Xenopus tropicalis: one gene and its partners. The protein of the gene in region 1 interacts with the protein of each later gene in a biochemical or structural test. Links are inferred from orthologs where the notes say so. Each region holds a gene or a part of one and is shown in the gene's direction. Other genes may lie near its edges.

Region 1 (5,888 bases):
CTGGGTCAGCTGTGAGATTGATATTTGTTTTCTGATCAAATAAATAACTTTTTTTTTATGTAAGGCAGTTATAATAACATGTACTGTACATGGCTCTGTTCTGTTACACTTCTTTAATATTGCACTTAGTCTTGCACATCTAGCCTCCTGTATATTTTCAAGCTGCCCTATTAGCATTATTAGATATTATTAGATATTAAACCAGTGGATGCCAGATGTTTTTGGTTGAAGAGCCCCACAGAGGTTCAACCTCTTATCAGGGACCACCTTAGTTCATGACAGGGTTACAGTTTGGACTTTTTAACTATTCAGCCATAGTTTTAGCCCTAATTTAGCTTCAAGCTGGGCTTTCAGGTATATCTAAAAAAGCAAAAAGGAATTCTTTACAAATATCACTGTAGCTAGCTTAAAGGGCTGAGAGCCCTTCCTCCTCTCCTATATTAATGCAAGCCTTTTTATCCTACCATGAAACATTGGCTCAGTCTGGCTTATTTCAGTCTCTGCCGTAGGCAGGGCCGGATTTGTAATCCTGCCGCCCCTGTCCGTCGCCCTCCACGCATGTGCACGATCAGCACACCCCCCCCATGCGCATGCGTGAACGTGCAATCGGCACCGCCCCCTCCCCAACGTGCATGCAGGGTGTAAACATTTGCAAATGGAGCAGTGGGGGAGAGGTCCCCACTGCTCCATATGGATGAAAAAGCTTAAGATTGTGGTGCGGCGGGGCGGCATGCCGCCCCCAAATTTGTGCCGCCCTAGGCCCGGGCCTTTGTGGCCTCTCCACAATGTTTCTTGCTTCTGCTGCTTATTATGCCTATACCATGTTGAGTGCTTCCATTTTTTTTCTTTTCTGGTAGGTGGATATGTTTTCATATGGTATGGTCCTGTATGAGCTATTGTCAGGCCAGAGACCATCTTTGGGCCAGCACCAGCTGCAGATTTCCAAGAAACTGTCCAAGGGGATTCGTCCAGTTCTTGGACGCCCAGAGGAAGTTCACTTCCATCATCTGCAGGACCTGATGATGGAATGTTGGGACACGAAGCCTGAAAAGGTACAATTCCACAAGCCAGCAATATTTGCCTTAGTATTTACTGAGTGCATGTTTCACTTGTAGTATTTGTTTTCTGAATACAGCCTCACTGACACATTAAGTCATTATCAGTTGTAACCTCTGGTCTGTTCTTATAACTGAAAGTATTCCATTCATGTAAATCAAGAGCAACAACTCAGGCTGCTTTGTGAACTCTGTTTCATTCTCTATTCAAAATAGCGGCCTTTAGCTTCATCAGTTGTCCATCGTATGAATGACCCCAGCTTCACAGTTTTTAAGTACCAGTTGTCTTGTGGGATACAGGAATCATTCTGCTCATCCAGAGAACCAGAGAGCACAGTTGTATTCTGGGTAGGAACAGGGACATCAAGGTATGTACACCAGTGCTTGTTTGCTAGTCTAAAATTCTCAGTGTGATTGAAGGGCCTTCACATATCTTGCATAATTTGTACTTTGTACGGAACGGTATCTATGTTGGCACAGTGTTTATAGTTCTCTATACAGAGAAATCCTATGATTTTTTATTTCTGTGGCACTGCTTGGCTTACCATCCCATACAAAAATCATATTATGCTAGGTCACAACTTTTAGTGACTTTAAGGTTAAATGGTAACATGTTCTTAATATTTCTCTTACAAACAAAAACACAAAGTGTTTAAAGTCTCTGTCCTTCTTCAGATACTCTGTGTCATATACATTTCCAGCTTTAAATATTTGCACACAAAAAATAGCCTGATATCTTGGGAAGTTTGACTGACACTTTTTTTTGCCAATCTTCTACCTTCTACCACCATTAATATTCATATTTAACTAAGAATACCTGGCTTACAGAACATTAAACCCCATGTAAGAATTTGCAGCTGCAATATTCTGCTTGGTGACACTAGCTTGCTCCTCTCTTTCAGGAATTATACCGTGGTTGATGTTGAGAAAGGGCAGGTGGAAGTGCAGACTCTGAGCTGCCCCGGGATGAGAATGTCTTGCCAGCAAAGGGTACAGAATACACTTTGGATTGCAACAGAGGTAGGAAGGGAAACCTATTTAGGACTAATGTACACGAGAGTGCCTTATTTATTCTGTGCAACCATACAATGGTACTACTGTCTTATTGCCCCCATTCTTGAAATGCCTTAACATTATTGTGACAATGGAAGGACAAACAGATTGATGTAACCTATCTCTGGTTTTCTGTGGGAAAATGCAATGTACAAGCCAAGCATGTAGGAGTTTAAGCATCGTAACTGGACACAGTTCTATTTTATATATTTTTTTATATGCCAAGAAACGATTAGATACTCTGTATAGGAAGAAGCAGTTTTGTTTAAAATACAACAAAGTGTGTTTGGAACCTATTTTACATGAGATTAACCAGATTGTTGTCATTATAAGTAATTGAAAATTATCTACTTTACCCAGTACATGATGTAATCTTTATCTGCAGGATCAGAAGATATCTATCTTTAGTCTGCAGGGCATGTGCCCCCTAAGTGTCGCACTAAAGGTGATAGACACCCCTGCCATTGTGACCTGCTTCCTTGTAGCGAATATGGAAAAGGTGAGGACAGCCAATGCAGCTATGTTGTAGTATTTGAGAGATGCAGCCCCCCCTCCGGCACAGGAAAGGTAAGCGCTGGGGGGTGGCATCACAGCCTCAGGGCAGCTCCAGGGTGAGAATCGCCCCTGGATGCAGGTCCAACAGTAATATATAAGTGAGTAATATACATAGTAAGTAAGAAGAAGTAAGTAAAAAATTTGCAAATAGACAAAATATCAGAATAAGAATGCTATGCTGGTATTCTGATTCCAGATTCTGGAAACCCCTTGTGTAACAGTACTGATGGGGTACAGAGATCTAAGAGATATTTATAATATATAATTATAAAGTAGTTTTAGATCTATAAATAGTGAGATCCAAGACATATGGCAATCCTTGCTGCATTGTCAAAATATCAAGCGGCAGATTATAATGGGGCCTTTTTAGGGCAGGTGCATGTGGCCCATTCCAAGAGGCTACAAAGTAGTCTAGCCCAAATCATTGGCTCATATTTCCACGGTGTTATATGTAGGCTGTAGTCTTCATCAGACAAGCCCAAATGAGTTCCCTGTGCAGTTAACTAATTGCAAAGCGGAAAAGATTGATTCAACCTCAGGTCTCATCCTGCATCGATGATTAAGTATATAGGTTACTGGTAAACCTGACCCCAGTATCATCCTGGTGACTTAATAGTCATCTTTAGAATGGACACTACTATTACTTTCTACTTATCTTTATTTTATGTTTCTTCCATTTTAGTTCTTAAGACATTTTATATTCTTTTTCAAGTACAAGCTGATTAAAAATAACTGTTCATTAACCATATTTCTTTTATTCAGGGGAACTGCCTGGTATTTGCTGGCCTTTCAGACAGCCTGATTTCAGTGTTCCCAGTAAGTGGTGGCATCCCAGGCAGTGATTGCTCCTACATCTGTTCCCGCACAGCTAATCGCTCCATGTTCAAGATAACAGATGATGACCCACGTCAGAAACCTCACCCAGTGTTGGCCATGGAGATCTGCAATAAATGTTCTGAGGTCTGGTATGGCAATGGACCTGGTGTCCTTGTAGTGGACTGTACCTCTCTTGAGATTTCAAAAAGACTGGAACCCTTTAGTGCACCATCATCCATCATCTCCATGGTTACAAGCACAGACACTAACAGAGAGGAGACTGTTTGGTTATTGGATGATATGACCAATTTTCTGGTCATGTATAATGCTGCAGCCTACCAACTCTGTGCCCGATACTTCTGTGGTGATAGCAGTCCTCTAAGGGATATGTTTACAGTAAAGCCTTGTTCAGATGTGGTTCCTGTTGCATTGCCAGTTACAAACTGTAATAGCCCCCGCTCAGCAAACGTCAGCATCATCTACAGCCTAGAACGTGGTATGCAAGTTCTCAGCCACCAAGACTCTCTTACCGATTATTGCTCTGTGTCATCCTTCTATTCTTCCATTCCTCAGGGGACTGCTAAGTCCTCCTCCAGTTTGCCAAGCACTCCGGTCAGCTACAGTAGTGCCCCATTTTCCACAGATAGTGAGGATCCAGACCCAGCCCAAGAACTTATACACAAAATTTCTAGTGAGAGCTGGGGGGGCAGAACACCTCTTTCAGAGGAGGAAAAACTCAATGTGCAGGCTGTTGGGATTGTAGTCGTCAAAGATTTGCTCTGGGTTCCGAGGTAAGAATGCATTTCAAAACACCACAGCCACATATACAAATCATTGTAGTGACTTGTCAGAGTTCTGGTGTTGAATCTTGATTACAGCTTCTAAAATACCTGCCCAAAGCTGCTGAAATGGTTAGAGGTATTTGTAACAGTCACAATACTAATGTTTGGAAAAATAGGATAGAAAATAACACTAAAACTATTTGGCCTTAATCCCATGCCCCACAGCTGTTGCTTTTATCTCTCCCAACCTCGGGTTGTGGTCAGCTCTACAGTTTGGCAACCAACGGCAACAGTTTTTGTTCTCATGCAGTTGATGTGGCTATCAGCTCTTTCCGCTTGCAGTTTTGTAGTTGTGCTAATGACTATGTGTAACATATATGCAGTCAACTGTTTGCGTCCACAGTAGCGGCTATCAGAACTGGTATGCTTGCACAAAGTTGTCTGCACAAAGATGGTGTCTGCAACTTTTCTTCCTATTTATGGGGCCCTCCAACAGGCCTCCCTGACCGATATCTGGCCAAAATTCAGGCAGATGTTCATCAGGCAGGCTTGATTTTTCTGTTGGATTGAGGACCGCATTGGGCTCATTGATGCAGTCCTCGCTCTGACGTCTCGTGCCCCCGTCATTGTTACGTGATCTAGGGCCATTGTAATGTGATCCTAGGCCAAACAATTGCATTAGCACAATATCGCCCACCCAAGGTGGCTTGTTTGGCAACCTTACCAAGCAAGTATATTACCGTGCATGGCCACCTTTAGCCAGAGTGGGGAGTGGCTGAGACCTACATTATCTCCATGCACATCATGCAGCACTTTCCTCTTTATTAGTATTTACAGGCAGGTACTGTAGAAAAGAAACTATGAATTCAATGAAATGGCAAAACACACAGGTACATGTGCCACTCGACAGCAAAGCTTTTAAGCTTCTGTTCTCCATGGCATGGTTTATTTGTACCTGTACCCTGCATTCCAACTTTTCCTGCTAGAAATGTGAATTACTTAGGAAACGGCAGTCGTTGAACTACGTCATAGGTAGTAGGCTCCATCTTGTAAGCTGTGAATGGCTCACAGCATGGCATTAAAAGTACTGTCAACAAAGGCTTGTCGTGTGTCCAGGCAGAGGCTCCATGTTCAGCGAAACTTGTAAAAGCAGGAGAAGGAAGGCCTGGGGCTGGGAATCAGGAGTGACTGGCGTATTACATGTTAGTGAAAGAACTTGAGGATAAGCTGATCATATTTCTGGGTTAAAAACCACGTGTTCCCATATGATTTATTAATTTTTTTTCTTTTTTTAAATATGAAAGAAATTAGCACAAATTCTTTGTTTGGGACATCGAGTAAGCCAAGCAGCTTTACATGACTTGCACTGTATAGAGACTATATGTGTTCCTGTCCCACACTCAGGTTTGCTCATTGGCACAAAGCCTCCTGTTCTTAGATATTTTTGTTACTAAGTTTTTGCTGAAGTATTTAGTGTGTTGTCATGAGTTTGTGTATAGTTCACTTTTAGCCCTCTTTAGGGTGTCGGCAAACCAGACTAGTGAAGATCCAGGCTGAGGTCAATTCAAACATATTTCTTTCTGTTTAAACTTTTTTTTTGCTCCCATAAACACATGATTCTCCAGAA
Region 2 (6,463 bases), on another chromosome or scaffold:
AAGGAGACATCACCAGCCGATTCCAATACACATTTTAATAATATGTATCATTATTTATCCAGCAATACTTTACTTTACTAAACATCTCTTCCTGTGATTGGCTGGTGGGATAATAGGATAATGGGATAATCGCGACAGATCTGGCGTGGAGCAGGAACGGACTATGTGTCCCTCCGAAATGACTTGGTTGGGTCCCAAGATAAATAAATGCTATGGCAACTCCCCTTCCTGCCTCTGTTTATTATTAGTCAATTGGGGCAGTCTGGGCCACTTACCCTTCTCTTCCAAATGTTACAAACAGTTCCACCTTTTCTCTGCTGCGGCACCGAAGCCTCCAGTTTCAGGGCATTATGTCCCATAGCCTCAGAGCTGAAATGCACTCTTACCCAAATGACTATCCTTTGTGTATATAGAACCGACATATTCACAGATCTAGAGCTTACAATCTAATGTATGTATAACGGACATATTCACAGATCTAGAGCTTACAATCTAATGTACGTATAACTGACATATTCACAGATCTAGAGCTTACAATCTAATGTACGTATAACTGACATATTCACAGATCAAGAGCTTACAATCTAATGTATGTATAACGGACATATTCACAGATCAAGAGCTTACAATCTAATGTACGTATAACGGACATATTCACAGATCTGGAGCTTACAATCTAATGTATGTATAACTTTCACATACGCTATGGTCATTTTTATCTAGAAAAACTCCACGTCAGCACAGGGAAAACATACAAACTCCATGCAGGTAATAACCTGGTACCACCATGATGCCCGTGTAATCTTGATGCCAACTAATAAATGGGGCTTATGGCGCATGTGTTTTTTTGGACTTAGTGTTTGTCTTGTGTCCATCATGCTCTGCTGTGCCTACTAACTGCCAACTCTTCCTACCTGTACCTGCTGCTCCTTGTGACCCCCACTATGTAAGGGACAGTGTCTGGGAGTCAAAATAGGCCCTGGTATTTCATGTACAGAGAAGCCCAAACAGCCCCCCACTAGCCCAATAAATAGTGAGTGTCTATGGCATCTTACAGCAGCCCCTCTGGCATTTGCCAGAACCCACAGATTGCCAGTCCGGGCCTGAGTGTCACTATTTATATAGATTGTAAGCTCTACGGGGCAGGGACCTCCTTCCTCTTGTATCCTCGACTCTCAACTTATTGCTGCTGTATTTATCTGTATTTATTATTATACTTTGTATTTATCTATTATCTTATTAACACCCTGTTTGTATTAATCTATTCTACTGTACAGCGCTGCGTACATAAGTAGCGTTTTATAAATAAAGATATACATACATACACACATATTTGTACCCTTTCAAGACACAAATTATCTGTACAGTAGAACTTTCCAGCCTTCCTTTGACAATGACTGTATTTTAGATTGTAAGTTCTTTGGTGCAGAGGCTTACTCTTACTTTATATAGCTGGCATTTGCCAGGACCCACAGATTGCCAGTCGGGGCCCGAGTGTCCCTATTTGTACCTTTTCAAGACACTAATCATCTATACAGCAGAACTTTCCAGCCTCCCTTCGACAGTGACAGGATTTTAGATTGTAAGTTCTTTGGTACAGAGGCTTACTTTATATAGCTGGCATTTGCAGAATCCACAGATTGCCAGTCTGAGCCTGAGTGCTGCAATCTGTACCCTTTCAAAGCACTTTTTACCAATCACCTATTCAGTAGAACCTATAGAACCTTCCAGCCTCCCTATAGCAGTGACAGTTACAGGATTGTAAGCTCTTTGGCACAGAGGTTTATTTTCTACTTTGTATAGCTGAATATAATTAGTAGCGCCATAAAAATATTACTTATAATATATTTATAATTAGGCAGTAGAAGATTATTTTTCTCTTGTTAACATTGCCAACCCTATTGCCCAATGGCGATGCAAGTACACAGTATGACATCACTAAAATACTGTGACCTCACCGGTGATCTTAATTTTTTTTTTGTTTGTTTAATGATGAGGGGGGTATGAAGAGAAGATAAATATTAGGAGAAGGAGATGGAAAATGGGAGAGAAAGAGAGCGCACATAGCATAGTAATTCCAATACAAACAAACCTTCCCCAGTCTGTGCAGTGATGTATGCCAAAGTGTGGGGCAGGCACAGGGGGAGGGCCAGCAGGGCTTGGGGAAGGGAGACTGGGCCAGGGGAGAGGAGCTGCTCCAGCATTGGATGAAGGGAGGGATGAAGGCTCAGGTTCCAGACAGAGGGGAGTGACTCAGGGAGGAGGAAGGGGCTGGGAGTGAGGATGAGGAGTGAGGGGGAGGGAGGGAAAAGTCACACAGACTTTCCATTGCCCCTCACACACGGGATCTACACTGGGTTGCACCTCTCACACATCCACTTTTGGGAACTTTCCCTACCTATTACCTTATTGTTTGTGGCTGCACTGCTGCCTGGAAGGGCTTGGCTTGCCTGGATAGCACTTACCGGGATTCCTATGCACTGAACCTTGCGGGATTCATCACTGTGGGACTATCAGGGGATTGGTGATTCACTCAGAGAGAAAAGAAATCACAGAGAACTTACTCATTCACCCTGCAAAGGGGATTCTGCCTGTTCCCCTCTTTGGAACCTCACTGGCTTTGGCTGCTGCTGGTTACCGGGCTCTGAGTCGGGATCGGGACTCGCTCACCCTGCGCTCGGAGGGATACGTATTTCTCATTGGCTGAAACGGGACTTGGGAATCTGTCCCCTGGGACACACGGAGTCTTGCCAGGCACACGCCTGATGCAGGGCTGAGGGGATTTTCTTACACCGCCATCTCTCCAGGTAATGCCAACAAACCCGCAACGTTGTAACTCTAGGAGGGGCTTCTCAGCCTAATAGAACTGGGGTACAGACCCCCACAGGGGATATACCTGTGTCATGTCATTGGTTAAACTTGTCTAAAACTCCTTGCTTTAATCAGGTAATGAGGAAATCGCTGTGCGTAATTGGAAGCGCAATGCGTTAAATTCGCTTTGCCGCACAAAACCGCTGCAGGGTGATGTTTGTTGCATATTTTACTTTATGGTCTTTATTTATGGGAGCAATGCATGATAATGTGGGTTGGTGTTTTAGAACATTTAAAACAGCTTTAGATCGTTATGAATTTTGAAAAACATGGACTTTTGCCCAGCTTGTATTTATTGCTGAAGTGAATGGTACTCAAGTGCCTACAAGAAATTGGGTTTAAATATTAAAGCTTTCTGGCATGTTTGGCCACTATGAGGCGCTATATTATTGGAGTGAGTGGATAATATTTAATTTTACCCCTGCCATGCAAGCTGTGTGGTAGCTCCCAGGATTGATGTTGGAAAGTTGTTGTAGAAGGCGCTATGTCTATGTGTTATTATAATTGTTATAGACAAATGGGATCAAAGCAATCATATTTCCCAAACTAAGAAAAGCTGGTAATTAATGGTCAAACTTGGGTGATAATGGTCAGCCATTGGGCAGCCTACAAGTGAGCGGCTTTTGACTGCCCAAAGCCTGTTGCAGTTGAACAACACCTTGTGTCTCAACCCTTTCTCCTTGTAGATTGTAAGCTCTTTTGGGCAGGGCTCTCTTCACCTCCTGTATCGGTTATTGATTGCTTTATATGTTACTCTGTATGTCCAATGTATGGAACCCACTTATTGTTCAGCGCTGCGGAATATGTTGGCGCTTTATAAATAAATGTGAATAATATGGAGGGCCACTGCGGCCTGCATTATGGTATGCAACAAAGCATGCTTTGCCCCAAGTAGGTTTATGAATGTAACATATAAACATAGGCCCTTGGTCATGACCAGACAGTCTAAATGCCACTCTCACTATTATCTGATGCTTATAGCTTACTGGGGAATTCTGGGAGTTCCAGATCAGCTGGAGGGCTGCAGGCTGGACAAACAACATTGCAGAATGTGGATTTGCTTTTACAGGTTACAATGTTATACCCGTGGGTACCCCTTGTGCAGTAGGGGAGTGCGACTCCTGATTGCTCCTAAATGCTCGCTAAACAATAGGGTCTTTCTTTGTACAGTTATGTATCACAATGGGCACGAATGCTGGAACCCACCGGGTCTGATGGACCGGTTGCTATGTATATGCATAGAGCAGAGCCACAAGCCACATTTACATTTCCACTGTGTACATACGTAGGGCTGGACAAGTAAAGGGTCATGGAACCAATGCAGGATCCATTGCGTGCCTTTGCCCTAGGGTTTGACAGGACTGTTTAGGTGCTAAGATGCTCGAGGGGCCCAGTACAAGGGGCACGGACAGTCTGAGTAGTAGTGTGTATGTACCCTCGCTATGTCTGTGTTTGCATTCATGTACTAACGCTATCTTGTAAAGACTGTTTTATGTAAAATGTCCTGGGGGCAATAATGCACCCCCAGGTCCTCATATTTTGGATATTTGCATGAATATTTTACATGTTCTCCTCCTGCTGAGCCTAATATTGCCTGCCCCACAGCAGCCCCTTCGGCTTTTAATTCTCTTTATTTGTCCTCCTTTATTTTCTACGCAAAACTCGGCAACATCAGGGTTGGGGGGGGTGCTTCCTACAGGTTAAACGAACTGCCGATCCATTAATGACAGGTTTATAGTCTGCATCGGGCAAGGAAGAAAGGGGCTAGGATTCTACCCGTGAGAGAGGCCTGTTAGGTGTTTAGCACCCACACAGCGGGCAAAGCCACAGACGCATTACAGGCCCCTGAACGCAGCCCAACAAAAGCTTCACATTTTGGAAAATTCAGGTTTTCTTTATCATTATAAAAAAAATCCTTGCAAAACATTCCTTTGTCCCACCGGCCGTGAATTCCTAACCCAGTCAGCGTGGTATCTGGTGTTAATCAAGGAACTGACTTGAAGGCTGTTTGTAAAGGGGGAAAAAATCCATCTATAATGTAAAGGTTCCAGGGGCTGCATGTAAAATCCCTGTGTGCCAACTGCTCTTGGGACTGTGCGTTGGTGTTTGCATTTTGTTGTGAAGCTCCATTGTACCTTGGTGTCGGAGCTTGGTCTAAAAAGATAACAACCCTTTTACAAATCTCCGTACTGGATGTGTTAAGTGTGAAAAAGTGCATTGTGGAGCCCTCATTAAATGTACATTGTGTGCTGGAATCTGGGGTGCATACAATGGGGGAATCCGTGGCCAAGAGGGAGGCTGAATTCCTTGGCTTTATATGAGAGTGTACATGGTGCCCCCGCTCATTGTGCGGGTTTAATGGGGGTTGCACTAAAGCCCCTTGATAAGTAGGGATTGAGGCACGGTCTCCCCTTCTGTGGAATCTCAATTAAAATGCAGATTAGGGCTATTTTCTGATCTTGGCCAAACCTTTAGATAATAGAAATCTATGGTGGAGTGCTGGGGGAGGAAGCCAAAAACTTCTTGGAAAGAAATGAGAAATTCTATATGGGATTTAAATGCACAAATAAGAGCGCCAGCACTGTGCCTTCCAGGGATTTAGCAGGTTTCAGGGGTGCAGGGGTTAAACCCTCTTACATTGCGTTATTTGGAGTCGCCGCATTAGGGAAGAGAAAGTCCGGGGCAAGGTGTTGTTTCCATGAAAGGGATGTGCTTATAATAGGAATGGGTGCTATAGAGAGTGGCTTGTTAGAGCTGAAAAGAGATTATACCAAGTGTCATTATTCAGAGGGGGAGACTGTTGTGTAACAAGACTTAAATCATTTGTAAAGCAGGGGCCCTTTCATTCCCGCATTCTTTCCCAAAGAGCTGAAATGACATTTTGTTTTGCGGGAGGAAAAAAGTCACTTATGGATCTTTCTTAATGTGTCAACGCATTTCACAGTTTTGCAGGGTTTGGGACACAGATATGAACATGTGTGTTGGGGGGTTTCCTGAACATTTAAAAACTTGAGATTTTGTAGGTTTTACAGGAAAAACAGGATTGTCAGGTGCAACTTCGGAGGTTTCACTATTTATTGGAATAGAGCCCGTATTTCTGCCTCGGCATGGACGTGTGTACCACTTTGTCTTCTGCGCTGGTGTTAGCATTGCTTACTGCTCTCTGTAGGGATCCCTAGCAGGGGCTGCCCTCAATCCTGGGAAAGGGGGGCTGCAAAAATGCAACATTTGTGTAGGTCGAGTTTGTGAAATATCCGTGACATACCATACATTTTTTTATTGACCTTGCAACAGGGTAACAGCACCTTTTAAGTAGCCTCTGGGAAGGGACTGTGGCTGTGGGATAGCAGGTATAGTAGGGAGAGATGGTGCCTATAGTAGCAGTGGGATAATAGCCTCTGGGAAGGGACTGGGGCTGTGGGATAGCAGGTATAGTAGGGAGAGATGGTGCCTATAGTAGCAGTGGGGGGATAATAGCCTCTGGGAAGGGACTGTGGCTGTGGGATAGCAGGTATAGTAGGGAGAGATGGTGCCTATAGTAGCAGTGGGGGGATAATAGCCTCTGGGAAGGGACTGGGGCTGTGGGATAGCA
Region 3 (6,625 bases), on another chromosome or scaffold:
GGTTTATCAATTTCAATTTTCAATTTCAATATCAATTTCTGTAGTCACCCCCAGGCCTGATTACTGCCACACCTGTTTCAATCAAGAAATCACTTAAATAGGAGGTACCTGACACAGAGAAGTAGACCAAAAGCACCTCAAAAGCTAGACATCATGCCAAGATCCAAAGAAATTCAGGAACAAATGAGAACAAAAGTAATTGAGATCTATCAGTCTGGTAAAGGTTATAAAGCCATTTCTAAAGCTTTGGGACTCCAGCGAACCACAGTGAGAGCCATTATCCACAAATGGCAAAAACATGGAACAGTGGTGAACCTTCCCAGGAGTGGCCGGCCGACCAAAATTACCCCAAGAGCGCAGAGACAACTAATCCGAGAGGCCACAAAAGACCCCAGGACAACATCTAAAGAACTGCAGGCCTCACTTGCCTCAATTAAGGTCAGTGTTCACGACTCCACCATAAGAAAGAGACTGGGTAAAAACGGCCTGCATGGCAGATTTCCAAGGCGCAAACCACTTTTAAGCAAAAAGAACATTATGGCTCGTCTCAATTTTGCTAAAAAACATCTCAATGATTGCCAAGATCAATATCTTGTGGACAGACGAGACAAAAGTTGAACTTTTTGGAAGGTGCGTGTCCCGTTACATCTGGCGTAAAAGTAACACAGCATTTCAGAAAAAGAACATCATACCAACAGTAAAATATGGTGGTGGTAGTGTGATGGTCTGGGGTTGTTTTGCTTCTTCAGGACCTGGAAGGCTTGCTGTGATAGATGGAACCATGAATTCTACTGTCTACCAAAAAATCCTGAAGGAGAATGTCCGGCCATCTGTTCGTCAACTCAAGCTGAAGCGATCTTGGGTGCTGCAGCAGGACAATGACCCAAAACACACCAGCAAATCCACCTCTGAATGGCTGAAGAAAAACAAAATGAAGACTTTGGAGTGGCCTAGTCAAAGTCCTGACCTGAATCCTATTGAGATGTTGTGGCATGACCTTAAAAAGGCGGTTCATGCTAGAAAACCCTCAAATAAAGCTGAATTACAACAATTCTGCAAAGATGAGTGGGCCAAAATTCCTCCAGAGCGCTGTAAAAGACTCGTTGCAAGTTATCGCAAACGCTTGATTGCAGTTATTGCTGCTAAGGGTGGCCCAACCAGTTATTAGGTTCAGGGGGCAATTACTTTTTCACACAGGGCCATGGAGGTTTGGATTTTTTTTCTCCCTAAATAATAAAAACCCTCATTTAAAAACTGCATTTTGTGTTTACTTGTGTTATCTTTGACTAATAGTTAAATGTGTTTGATGATCAGAAACATATTGTGTGACAAACATGCAAAAGAATAAGAAATCAGGAAGGGGGCAAATAGTTTTTCACACCACTGTATATGTTACTCCTTGTAGATTGTAAGCTCTTTTGGGCAGGGCTCCCTTCCCCTCCTGTATTGGTTATTGATTGCTTTATATGTTACTCCTTGTAGAGTGTAAGCTCTTTTGGGCAGGGCTCCCTTCACCTCTTGTATCGGTTATTGATTGCTTTATATGTTACTCCTTGTAGAGTGTAAGCTCTTTTGGGCAGGGCCCTCTTCCCCTCCTGTATTGGTTATTGATTGCTTTATATGTTACTCCTTGTAGAGTGTAAGCTCTTTTGGGCAGGGCTCCCTTCCCCTCTTGTATCGGTTATTGATTGCTTTATATGTTACTCCTTGTAGATTGTAAGCTCTTTTGGGCAGGGCTCTCTTCCCCTCTTGTATCGGTTGATTGCTTTATATGTTACTCCTTGTAGATTGTAAGCTCTTTTGGGCAGGGCCCTCTTCCCCTCCTGTATCGGTTACTGATTGCTTTATATGTTACTCCTTGTAGATTGTAAGCTCTTTTGGGCAGGGCCCTCTTCCCCTCCTGTATCGGTTACTGATTGCTTTATATGTTACTCCTTGTAGATTGTAAGCTCTTTTGGGCAGGGCTCCCTTCCCCTCCTGTATCGGTTACTGATTGCTTTATATGTTACTCTGTATGCCCAATGTATGAAACCCACTTATTGTACAGCGCTGCGGGATATGTTGGCGCTTTATAAATAAATGTTAATAATAATAATAAATAACAAATGTAATAAGTAAATTTAGTCAAATGGGAGTGGTATTTAGGGGGTGTGGTTGCACGCAGCGTTTATTTTTGTCCCTGTTTTCAGTTTCAAAATGTTGGGAGGTATGTAACCATGTCTGATTCATTGATAAAAGCGACCAACAATGTATTTACTTTCTCTCCTGGGGCCCTTCCATTCCTGGCTAAATGACCTCTCTCTGGTTATAAAACCTATAACTATCAGGAAAAAGCCCTGTAACCCAATCCCATTTTAATAACCAGTGGCAATAAATGACAATTATTTTTTAATGTTATTACTGGTGCTTTAACTTAAATTGTGCATTAATAAGTCAGTGGGATGCACCAGTGACAACTACAAGTCCCAGCATCCCCTGCAAGACGACTACTTTGTGACCTGCAGCAGCTATACAGTCATATTTCAAAGCGATACAACTTCATTTGCCCTACTTCCGGTTTGACTTCATCACTTCCTGCGCGTCATCCGGCTGCGACACCCGCGTCTCGACGAGTGCTTCCGAAAAACGAAAGGTTTGTTGGATACTTACCGAGCTGCGCTAGAACTAAGGGGATCTGGGAACTTGTGAGGCCTTTAAAGTTGCAAAACACCGGCCCTTATTTACGGCAGGTCGGCCCTGGGGGCGGGGCCTGTTTGATACGAATCCCCTCTCCGTTATTTATGTTATAAACAGGGTTATACTGAGGAACCTGCAGGGATCTCTCTTCCCCTCATGTTTCCTCACACCGAGCGGTTTTCTTGCATTTTCCTGGTTTTAGACTTTCCCCCCCTTTATTTTGTATACAAGTTCCCTTCTACTCACAGGGTCTCTTAACCCAATAAGGGGTAATTATATCTTAGTTGGGATCAAGTACAGGTACTGTTTTATTATTACAGAGAAAAGGGAATCATTTAACCATGACATAAACCCAATAGGGCTGTTCTGCCCCAATAAGGGGTAATTATATCTTAGTTGGGATCAAGTACAGGTACTGTTTTATTATTACAGAGAAAAGGGAATCATTTAACCATTAAATAAACCCAATAGGGCTGTTCTGCCCCAATAAGGGGTAATTATATCTTAGTTGGGATCAAGTACAGGTACTGTTTTATTATTACAGAGAAAAAGGAATCATTTAACCATGAAATAAACCCAATAGGGCTGTTCTGCCCCCAATAAGGGGTAATTATATCTTAGTTGGGATCAAGTACAGGTACTGTTTTATTATTACAGAGAAAAGGGAATCATTTAACCATTAAATAAACCCAATAGGGCTGTTCTGCCCCCAATAAGGGGTAATTATATCTTAGTTGGGATCAAGTACAGGTACTGTTTTATTATTACAGAGAAAAGGGAATCATTTAACCATTAAATAAACCCAATAGGATTGTTCTGTTCTAATGGGTTTCCAGATAAGAGGTCCAATACCTGTAGTCTTTCATAGGGATGCACCGACTCCACTGTTTTGGGATTCAGTTGAACCCTGAATTCTTTTGTGAAAGATTCGCTGAATCCTGGTACAAAGGGGCTAAAGAGAACTCCTCCTTTCCGCTATCATGCGATGAAAAGTCATGTGACTTTAGGGATTCGGTTTGGCCAGGCACTGGCCAAATCCTGTATTTAATGCATCCCTATTAATAGTGCCTGTTGCCTTTTCTATAGGATGTCTAAAAGGAAGGTCACATTTGTGGATGGGGCTGAAGACGACGATGATGAGCAGAAAAAAAAAAGGGTAAGTTAAGAAGCAGAGCCGAATTGCACCATGTCGCTTTTCTTTTTCCAAACTGATCCCAGTAACCTTTATAAAGACGCCATTATATAGACGGTCTGCATTAGCCAATGTGCATGTCTGACACGGTCTCACCCCTTTATTGAAGCTCCCGGATGTAGTGGGAGGCCCAGGAAGTCGATTTAAAGGGAAACATTCTCTGGACAGCGATGAGGAAGATGATGAGGAAGAAACCAGTGATGGACGTTCTGCAAAGTATGACATATTAGCCCCCGAGGATGTTGAAGGTGAGATTCCATAGCAGGGTGCCCGCTTTGTGCCTCTTGTAGTATTATAAACCCCTTTACAAGAAACAAGCGGACGCATAATATAAGGATGTTTGGGAGAGGGTAGCTAAAGATACCTGGTACTGAAACATCCTATGCATAAGTTGCCCCCAGGCCACCCTAGTGTATTGGTACCCACAGTAATGATGAGGGAGTGAGCTGCAGGAGCAGTGCTGCTTGCTTTGCTTATGCTGAGCTGGAGGCAGGCCAGTAATTCCATAGGCTGAACTGCAATTTTAAACTCTACTGCAACCTATCAAAAGATGGCACTTCCTCCAGCTCAGCATAACTTGGGCACAATGGGCTCTCCACTCCCAGTCACCTAAAGTCATATCAGGGTGTCTGCTGCAGTAAGTACCCATCAGCTGGGGGTGGCTTGGGGCAGTCATCTACAAAAGAAGATCATGGCCATTTTGCGGACTACTTCATACTGGATATTATAGTAAAGTCTTTGTACAGGCTATGAGCAAAGCAAATGTTATGCTGACAGATACCATAAAACTATGGCAGCATAGGGATTCCCCTGTACTAAGCACAATTCAGCAGGAACAGCCCCCTAAGTTTGCTCATAGCCTGTACAGAGAGATACCATAAAACTATGGCAGCATAGGGATTCCCCTGTACTAAGCACAATTCAGCAGGAACAGCCCCCTAAGTTTGCTCATAGCCTGTACAGAGAGATGCCATAAAACTATGGCAGCATAGGGATTCCCCTGTACTAAGCACAATTCAGCAGGAACAGCCCCCTAAGTTTGCTCATAGCCTGTACAGAGAGATGCCATAAAACTATGGCAGCATAGGGATTCCCCTGTACTAAGCACAATTCAGCAGGAACAGCCCCCTAAGTTTGCTCATAGCCAGTACAGAGAGATACCATAAAACTATAGCAGCATAGGGATTCCCCTGTACTAAGCACAATTCAGCAGGAACAGCCCCTTAAATTTGACTTAAATTTGTCTTAAATTTGTCTTTGCTCTTCTTCCTCTGCAGGACAAGAAAACGCTACTCTGGAGTCGGAGGGTGGTGTTCCGATTACTCCTTTTAACCTGAAGGAGGAAATGGAGGAAGGGCATTTTGACTCTGAGGGCAACTATTTTTTGCGTAAAGAAGCTCAGATTCGGGACCACTGGCTTGATAATATAGACTGGGTGAGTGAATATGAATTGGGAGAACATGAAACGTAATAGCAGAATTTGAGTCCCTTCAGGTGGAACAGGGTGATTACAATCCAAGAATCAAGTTGGGCACTGTATGAACACAGTCACATTAGATGCCTCTTGGAATGCACTGAACCCAGTATTCAGTTTGGGATTCAGGCAAGATTCTGCAGAATCTGTAAAATCACATGAACACAGAAGTAAAAAATTAAGCGCGCGCTTCATTTAACTGTTCCGTAGCTTAATTTGCACATGCAAATAAGGATTCAGTTCAGTATTTGGCCAAATCATTTACAGAGACTTTTGGGGTTCGACTGAACCCAAAATAGTGGATTCGGTGCATCCCTAGATGCTTCCCAACTTTTTAGATTTAAGGCTGTCGCTTCTCTTCATGACGCCCTAAGCATCCCGTCATGTTCAGATCTGTTCTTGCACCCCACCAGTGGCATTGGCCAAGGGAAACTGGCACCTCTTCATGTGATTGGCCAGACAGGATAGGAGGAGGATGCTGGGGCAGTCAGGATGAGAAGAGATCATTGTATATTGTAGGGGAAGAAGCACTTTAAGATGAAAGCAGCACACATGGACCCTTCTGCTTATACCTAAACATGTGCGCCCGTGACCAATGGCACCCAGTAACCAGCAGTAACCCCTATCCTCTTGCCCTAGGTCCGAGTTAAGGAACGCACTGCACCCACAGAAACCGCTGATGATGATGACTCTGATTCTGAGGAAGGCAGAGCACCACTGAGCAAGAAAGTGCTACTGGAGGGAATCTTGCAGCTGCTTCAGCCTGGCGAGACTGTGGCTAAAGGAATCCAGCGTCTTGGAGGGACAGGAGGCAAAAAGGCAACTGGGGGCCAGAGAGCAAGGCAGCAGAAGACCCCCCAAGGCAGGAGAAAGAAGAGAGGGACTAAGTCTGACGGAGACAGAGAGCAGGAAGATAATACAGATTCTAAAATGGATGAGGGTAAAGGTGAAACGGATTCAAGGCAAGAGAGAAAGGATGAGCAAGGTCAGGAGTCCCTAAGAGACAGGGTGCGGGATAATGGCCAAGAGGAAACTGCACAGAGCAGAGTGGCTGCGGGGTCGGAGGAAGCAAGTAACGAGGCAGAAAGTAGGCCAGAGCCCCTCGAGCTCCTCATATCCCTAGCAGATCAGATGGTAGCCCTTGGTGTGTATGAGATCTACCAGGACACATATGAGAAGGTGGCGTACAGGCTCAAGACCTTGGCTCCACCTGCCGAGCTGGACATGTTTGCTGATGAGGTGGAGGAGAAAACACTGGAGAAGAAGGCGGGTAAGGGCCGGTA
Region 4 (6,376 bases), on another chromosome or scaffold:
GGTCATTTATTTCTTATATGGTTTCTTATATGGTTATTATTTATTTAAACTCTGCATGCAACTGAGTGAAATCTGGGTATATAATTGTACTGTATGTGTATGTGATAATAAAGCAATAGAAATAAATGTCTCTTTGTGCTGGTCATTTATTTCTTCTATATTTTCTAATATGGTTATTATTACAATGTGGCTTTTAAAGGAAAAGGTGCTGTCCATTTGTATATATATATATATATATATATATATATATATATACACAGGTATGGGATCCCTTATCCGGAAACCCGTTATCCGAAAGCTCCGAATTACAGAAAGCCTGTCTCCCATTGACTCCATTTTAATCAAATTATTCAGAATTTTAAATCTGGTTTTCTTTTTTCCTTTAATAATAAAACAGTACCTTGTACTTGATCCCAACTAAGATATGATGAATCCTTATTGGAGGCAGAACAATCCTATTGGGTTTAATTAATGTTTTATTGATTTTTTAGTAGAAATAAGGTATGAAAATCCAAATTACGGAAAGACCCCTTATCCGGAATACTATTGGTCCCGAGTATTCGGGATAACAGGTCCTATACCTGTATATATATATATAGCAAAAATGGAAGAATGCCGCACTCACAGGGCTTAGTGTAGAAAAAAAGAGTAGTTTATTCAAACAAAAACCTAACGTTTCGGCTGGAACCTCAGCCTTTCTCAAAGTGAACATACACGCAAGAAACCCCCTGATAAGCAGAATGTGGCGCCAAAATTAGACTAATGACGTCACTCTGTTGCAGGCCAGCACCCACCCCCCCAAACTACCAGTGTACACAAAACGGCAAATGTGAATATAAAGATAAGTATAATACAGGCAATAGAGTCAGCAATCCCTGAAACAAAATCAAGAAAAGGCACATAGAGAGGAAAAGAGTATATTGACAAAAATACAAGTGCATAAAGAATGGAGGAAATACAGGATTCATGACAAAAGGGAAAGGGTGACACATACGCTGAACTATAGCTCTCACACAGTAATGCGCAACACCTAAAAAGGATAATCAAAAGAGCACACGACTGTCACAAGTGTCAGTATAGAAAAAGGCTGTTATTTATACTGACACTTGCGACAGTCGTGTGCTCTTTTGATTATCCTTTTTAGGTGTTGCGCATTACTGTGTGAGAGCTATAGTTCAGCGCACAGTGAATAAAAAGAAGATATTCATGTGACCTGGTGTGCTGGTCCTTCTTATAGGTGTGTGTATATATATATATATATATATATATATATTCATGGAAAGTCGAACCGCTTCACACAGGACTTATAATCAGAAAAAAAATATTTTTGTTTTTTTTTTGCCTTAATAAATATTTTTGCTGATTATAAGTCCTGTGTGAAGCGGTTCGACTTTCCATGAATATCTATGCCTCTATTTTTGGACTGTACCCAGGCGATGGATCTCTCTTTTTTCGTAAGTGCCTATCCGTGTGGTGTTTGTATATATATATATATATATATATATATATATATATATATATATAACAAGAATTATATATATATACAGGTATCGGACCCCTTATCCGGAAACCCGTTATCCAGAAAGCTCCGAATTATGGAAAGCCCGTCTCCCATAGACTCCATTTTAATCAAATAATTCCGAATTTTAAACCTGATTTCCTTTTTCTCTGTAGTTATAAAACAGTACCTTGTAGTTAAGCCCAACTAAGATATAATTAATCCTCATTGGAGGCAAAACAATCCTATTGGGTTTATTTAATGTTTTATTGATTTTTTAGTAGACTTAAGGTATGGAGATCCAAATTACGGAAAGACCCCTTATCCGGAATACCCTTGGTCCCGAGCATTCTGGATAACGGGTCCTATACCTGTACACAAAAACAAGAAGTCCTCTGCAATCACCCATTATCAATATATATAGGACATTAACACATTCTTAATCTACTAAGTAAAATTTCTTTTACCTAGAATAATACACTCATAAGAATGTAAGCTCTTCAGGGCAGGGTTCACCCTCCAGTTGTTTCATGTCCAAGTTACAACATGAAAAAACAAATCTCACCCTACAAACCATAATAACTAACAGCATTGCTGTGTGCATCTGTATTTACTCATTGTACTCCCCTGCACTGGCGACTTGTGGAAATTAGCTGCATATTAAACAAATGGTGACGTTTGTAATAATCCGTGGCACCCAGGGAACAGCTGGCTTAAACCTCTGCTACACCCCACAGCAAGCAGACCAATCAGGGTAGTGAGGTGGGGTTTACATTTTAAGCAGTATTCAAGACAGTTTCTGCTCGGAAGACCCTTTCACTGCCTTTTTTTTCTTTTTCTTTAGAAAACGCCTCCTGGCCATTCCACCTCTCCCACAGAGCCCAATGCTGCACGCCAGAGCTTCTGCTGAAGCAGACAGATCTGCTAATGCTAGGAAAGATGAAAGCATTTAATGTGTAACAGGTACGTGATCCTTACTGAATGTCATTTGGACATATGTGTGCATTATCCCTGGGGTGCAGGAGCTGCAGCATTTCAGCACTCTAGCGCACGGACAGCTCCCATCTGCATTGGCTCCACTGGCTCCATCAGCTGCCGGGCTCTCAGCAATGTGCCGCATGTTGTAGCCCACACAGGGCTGTACCAAAGGGAGGCAGAATAGCAGGTGCATGGAGAGAGTTAAGCAAAGGGATATATTTGGATATATATTTAACTAAGTGGAGTTGTGTGTGCAAAATATACAGTATCATATCCTGCTGGAGCTGGTATGTAGCGCAATCACCAAATGATATGCTATGAAACCTTACTGCTTGTGTTATGCATCTCTGTTATGTATCTCTCTCTCTCTCTCTCAAACAGTTGATAGCAATAGTGATTTGAGACCAGGAAATCGAAACGGGGGCCCCAGCTCTGGTGCAGCTCCCAGCATTATTGCTGTTGAAGGGATTCTGGGAGCTTTAGTTCACAGCACCTGGAGGGCAGCAGTTTTCTCTCCCTAGGCTAGTTGCCTGGTGGTAGCGATATCTTCCAGTTGCAAATGTAATCATGGTGTGCATATATGGATACCTTAGGATATCTGCACACTGCTACCAAATGCAAATGTATATTCCAGACAAAGAAATGGTTTTCTTTACTGAAAAAAAGCTAAAAAGCAAATATAATATTCTTACTCTTCCAGTTATGCACTGTCATTGGCTGAATATCATTCCTAGTTCTTTAAAAGTCTCTGTAAGGAGGAATTAAACAGGCAACAGCCATTGCCTTTTACAGAATCTTATTGTAAATAGGAGAGTGTCGGCACAGGGATCATTTAAGCAAGGCTTTATTCTTCAGGGGACAAATAGCAAAACCTCAACACAAAGACACACCTACCCGGATAAACTGCTGGAGAATTACACATGGCAGAGAGAACAATACAAGAACCTTATAGTATAATATATATAATATAATACAGGTATGGGATCCGTTATCTGGAAACCCGTTATCCAGAAAGCTCCGAATTATGGAAAGCTCATCTCCCATAGACTCCATTTTAATCAAATGATTCAGAATTTTAAAACTGATTTCCTTTTTCTCTATAATAATAAAACAGTGCCTTGTAATTGATCCCAACTAAGATATAATTAATCCTTATTGGATGCAAAACAATTCTATTGGGTTTAATTAATGTTTTATAGATTTTTTAGTAGATATGGAGATCCAAATTACGGAAAGACCCCTTATCCAGAATACCCTTGGTCCCGAGCATTCTGGATAATGGGTTCTATACCTGTATATATATATATATATTAGTCTCTGGCAGAGTTTTATTTTTAAGACAGATGGTTTGGAAGAAAGTATATCTTATTTTGCTTCAGCTTTATCCAAGCAACAGCCATTTATTTATCATTAAACTACAATTCCCAGCATTCCTAGATAGCTAGGAAGTGTACTTCAACAATGATGGAGAGATGCAGGTTGGTAAATGTGGTGTATTTATGGTGACCTGTCCCTAATGTCATCTATGTATTTTGATCTAAAACAAAACAATACATAGAATTAGCAAGATAAATAGATTAACCACATCACAGTTGCACATAGTAAGATTTTGTGATTTGGAGAGGCCATTTTGAAACATTATGTTATTGGAGCCCATTTCACAAATTAATACACAAACAATATGAGGGTGCAGCTGACTGAACTAAATCGCCCCACTGCTGTTGGGAAAGGTATCAGCTCAGGGATACAGTGTTACCTTGCTTACACCAAATGAGTTGGGACTGAAACTTAGTTGGACATATATAATAGGGTACCGAGACTCAATTGTTTTGGGCCCTCAGGTTGTATTTACTTGCTAAGCACTATGGCTATTGTTAAGTACAGGGCTACCACACAGTTGGCACTTTCTAAGTAAAGCTCAGACCAGTAATGTAGCCCACAATATTGTCATGTATAAACAAAGTTACAGTGTGCGTTACAGATTCGCAAAGCTACAAATTACCATATCTCTAGAGTACAATGGGAAAATATGGCAATTTGGAGTAATTTGGAGTAAACAGATGCAGTTTTTTGGCAAGATCAGTCCATACTACATAAAGGGGTTGTAAACTGACATATAAAATTACGCATGAGGAAAGCTAATTTAATTCTTAGCATCTTTCAAATCTACTGAACATTTGTTTGTAAATTCACTTAACATTCAAAGCAGTATTGGTCAGTCCCTTTCTGTTCGATCCAACCAAGACTCCTGTTACCATACTTTTGACTTTTTGATTAAAGCCCTATTCATTGAACATATGTTGAAAAGGGGGTTTACTACCCCTTTGTAATGTTGTATACTGTTGCCATTTAGTCAATAAATACAAATTTCATGGCTTTGAGATGCACTTGTAGATCTGCAAACTTTCCCAGCCATTTGTATTAAATTGCATCTGGATTTAACCCAAGTATAGAGGATGTTAATTCCAATCATATGACAGATAAGTCACTCCTCTCTGCAATGAATTCTGCTGTTTTGGATTATATTAGCTTTGCCAAAGGAAATACTGCCTGGAAAAGAGACCTTCAGATCCAAAAAACTTAGAGCATCTTCTTAATTATCAGACATTATGGGCATCCCACTCTGTTCCATATGCCATTTAATTGCTAAAGTACTATCCGCCCATCTCTAAAGGACAAAAACAGCATCTTTTCCAGCACAGTAAATATAGATTGATTGTGCGCCGATTGTGTCTTTTTCTGCTGCAAGGCCATTTGTTTTCCAAGAAACAATCTATTTGGCAGATTGTTCATTGACATTTAGAGCTCATAGCAAATACTATTATACATTGCATTTATTGCATTATTAATCAGCTCAACCTTTACTGTGAAAATGTTGCAACTGGAGTGTTATTTCCAGTTCTGTGCACTTTCTCTGTATTACCTTTCATCAAGCAAAAGCACGATGGGCTATATCCTCATTACTTAATGTGTTCATAAACAGTACACATACCTCATTTCCAACAAGGCAAAAAGAATATTGTCATTTGTGATATAACAGATTGTTAGGCGGCTGCTATTTGTATGGAGCTTTGCTTATGTCTAATATTTCACCAAAAGGAACTCTGTTTAAGTATACGAACAGACCAAACTAATACTAAAGGTACCACCAGAAAACATGTTGGGGATACTGGTGCCTTAATATTAGGACTTTAGTAATCACATGAAGCATATTCTAGGCAATATATATTATATATACAGTAAAAACTCAATTTTAATTCCCCTGATTTTAAGTTTTCCTGCATTTTACACCATTGTTTTGTAACCCCACTAATATATAACACATTTTCCCAGATTTTGCACCATTTGTTTCTGGTCCCCTGAAAAACTTAAAATGGGGGTAATCATATATTATATATAATATAATTATTATAATTATAATAATACCTAACATATTACAGTGTTGATATTTGCAGGCTGTGGTATGTAGGCAGCATTCACAACATAAAAAACTTGCACCCTGTTTTTAAATAGAGCACCAAGACATATGTCTTTGCATCATTTTTCACTCAGCTATGTGGACCAGCTTGTGTATTTGGTATAATAAAGGATGGACTGCCCTGTCAGAGTAGTAGAGGGTCTCCTGGTAGTCCTCAGCCCAAGTGGGCCTCGGCCAAGACAATTCCCAGCAGCCCTTCCTTATTTCCACTATATGCCTATTACATTCAGCCCTGTCTCCATCTAATTGTTGTGTGGGTGGGCGCATAATGTCAGGTTCTCTGGTTGAGTCTACTAGGCTCAGTCTGACAATGCCATTACCTGCACAGGGCACAAGGTGGTAAAGCTGCACCCATGTTAGATACTGAGGGATACCTACAGGATGCTTCAGTGGTGTGTCAGTACTGCTTGATTTGCCCCTTT

Evidence for each region.
Region 2: the proteins of lrrk1 (region 1) and fgfr2 form a complex in vitro, tested with the Homo sapiens proteins (2 studies listed by BioGRID and IntAct, with this or other methods). The link is inferred for Xenopus tropicalis from reciprocal best matches to the Homo sapiens genes LRRK1 and FGFR2.
Region 3: the proteins of lrrk1 (region 1) and cd2bp2 form a complex in vitro, tested with the Homo sapiens proteins (2 studies listed by BioGRID and IntAct, with this or other methods). The link is inferred for Xenopus tropicalis from reciprocal best matches to the Homo sapiens genes LRRK1 and CD2BP2.
Region 4: the proteins of lrrk1 (region 1) and clvs1 form a complex in vitro, tested with the Homo sapiens proteins (2 studies listed by BioGRID and IntAct, with this or other methods). The link is inferred for Xenopus tropicalis from reciprocal best matches to the Homo sapiens genes LRRK1 and CLVS1.

Annotation. Positions count from the first base shown.
Region 1 is NC_030679.2:115,752,111-115,757,998, forward strand, and holds part of lrrk1 (leucine-rich repeat serine/threonine-protein kinase 1), read left to right. Parts: intron 1-857; coding exon 858-1,052; intron 1,053-1,271; coding exon 1,272-1,423; intron 1,424-1,957; coding exon 1,958-2,075; intron 2,076-2,493; coding exon 2,494-2,607; intron 2,608-3,425; coding exon 3,426-4,270; intron 4,271-5,888.
Region 2 is NC_030683.2:19,257,192-19,263,654, forward strand, and holds the start of fgfr2 (fibroblast growth factor receptor 2 precursor), read left to right. Parts: upstream 1-2,421; 5' UTR 2,422-2,807; intron 2,808-6,463. UniProt on the Homo sapiens protein: Tyrosine-protein kinase that acts as a cell-surface receptor for fibroblast growth factors and plays an essential role in the regulation of cell proliferation, differentiation, migration and apoptosis, and in the regulation of embryonic development.
Region 3 is NC_030685.2:13,550,550-13,557,174, reverse strand, and holds the start of cd2bp2 (CD2 antigen cytoplasmic tail-binding protein 2), read left to right. Parts: upstream 1-2,583; 5' UTR 2,584-2,632; intron 2,633-2,648; exon of another isoform or gene 2,649-2,729; intron 2,730-3,762; 5' UTR 3,763-3,763; coding exon 3,764-3,832; intron 3,833-3,977; coding exon 3,978-4,116; intron 4,117-5,145; coding exon 5,146-5,303; intron 5,304-5,981; coding exon 5,982-6,612; intron 6,613-6,625. UniProt on the Homo sapiens protein: Involved in pre-mRNA splicing as component of the U5 snRNP complex that is involved in spliceosome assembly.
Region 4 is NC_030682.2:117,380,422-117,386,797, forward strand, and holds the start of clvs1 (clavesin-1), read left to right. Parts: upstream 1-2,334; 5' UTR 2,335-2,461; intron 2,462-6,376.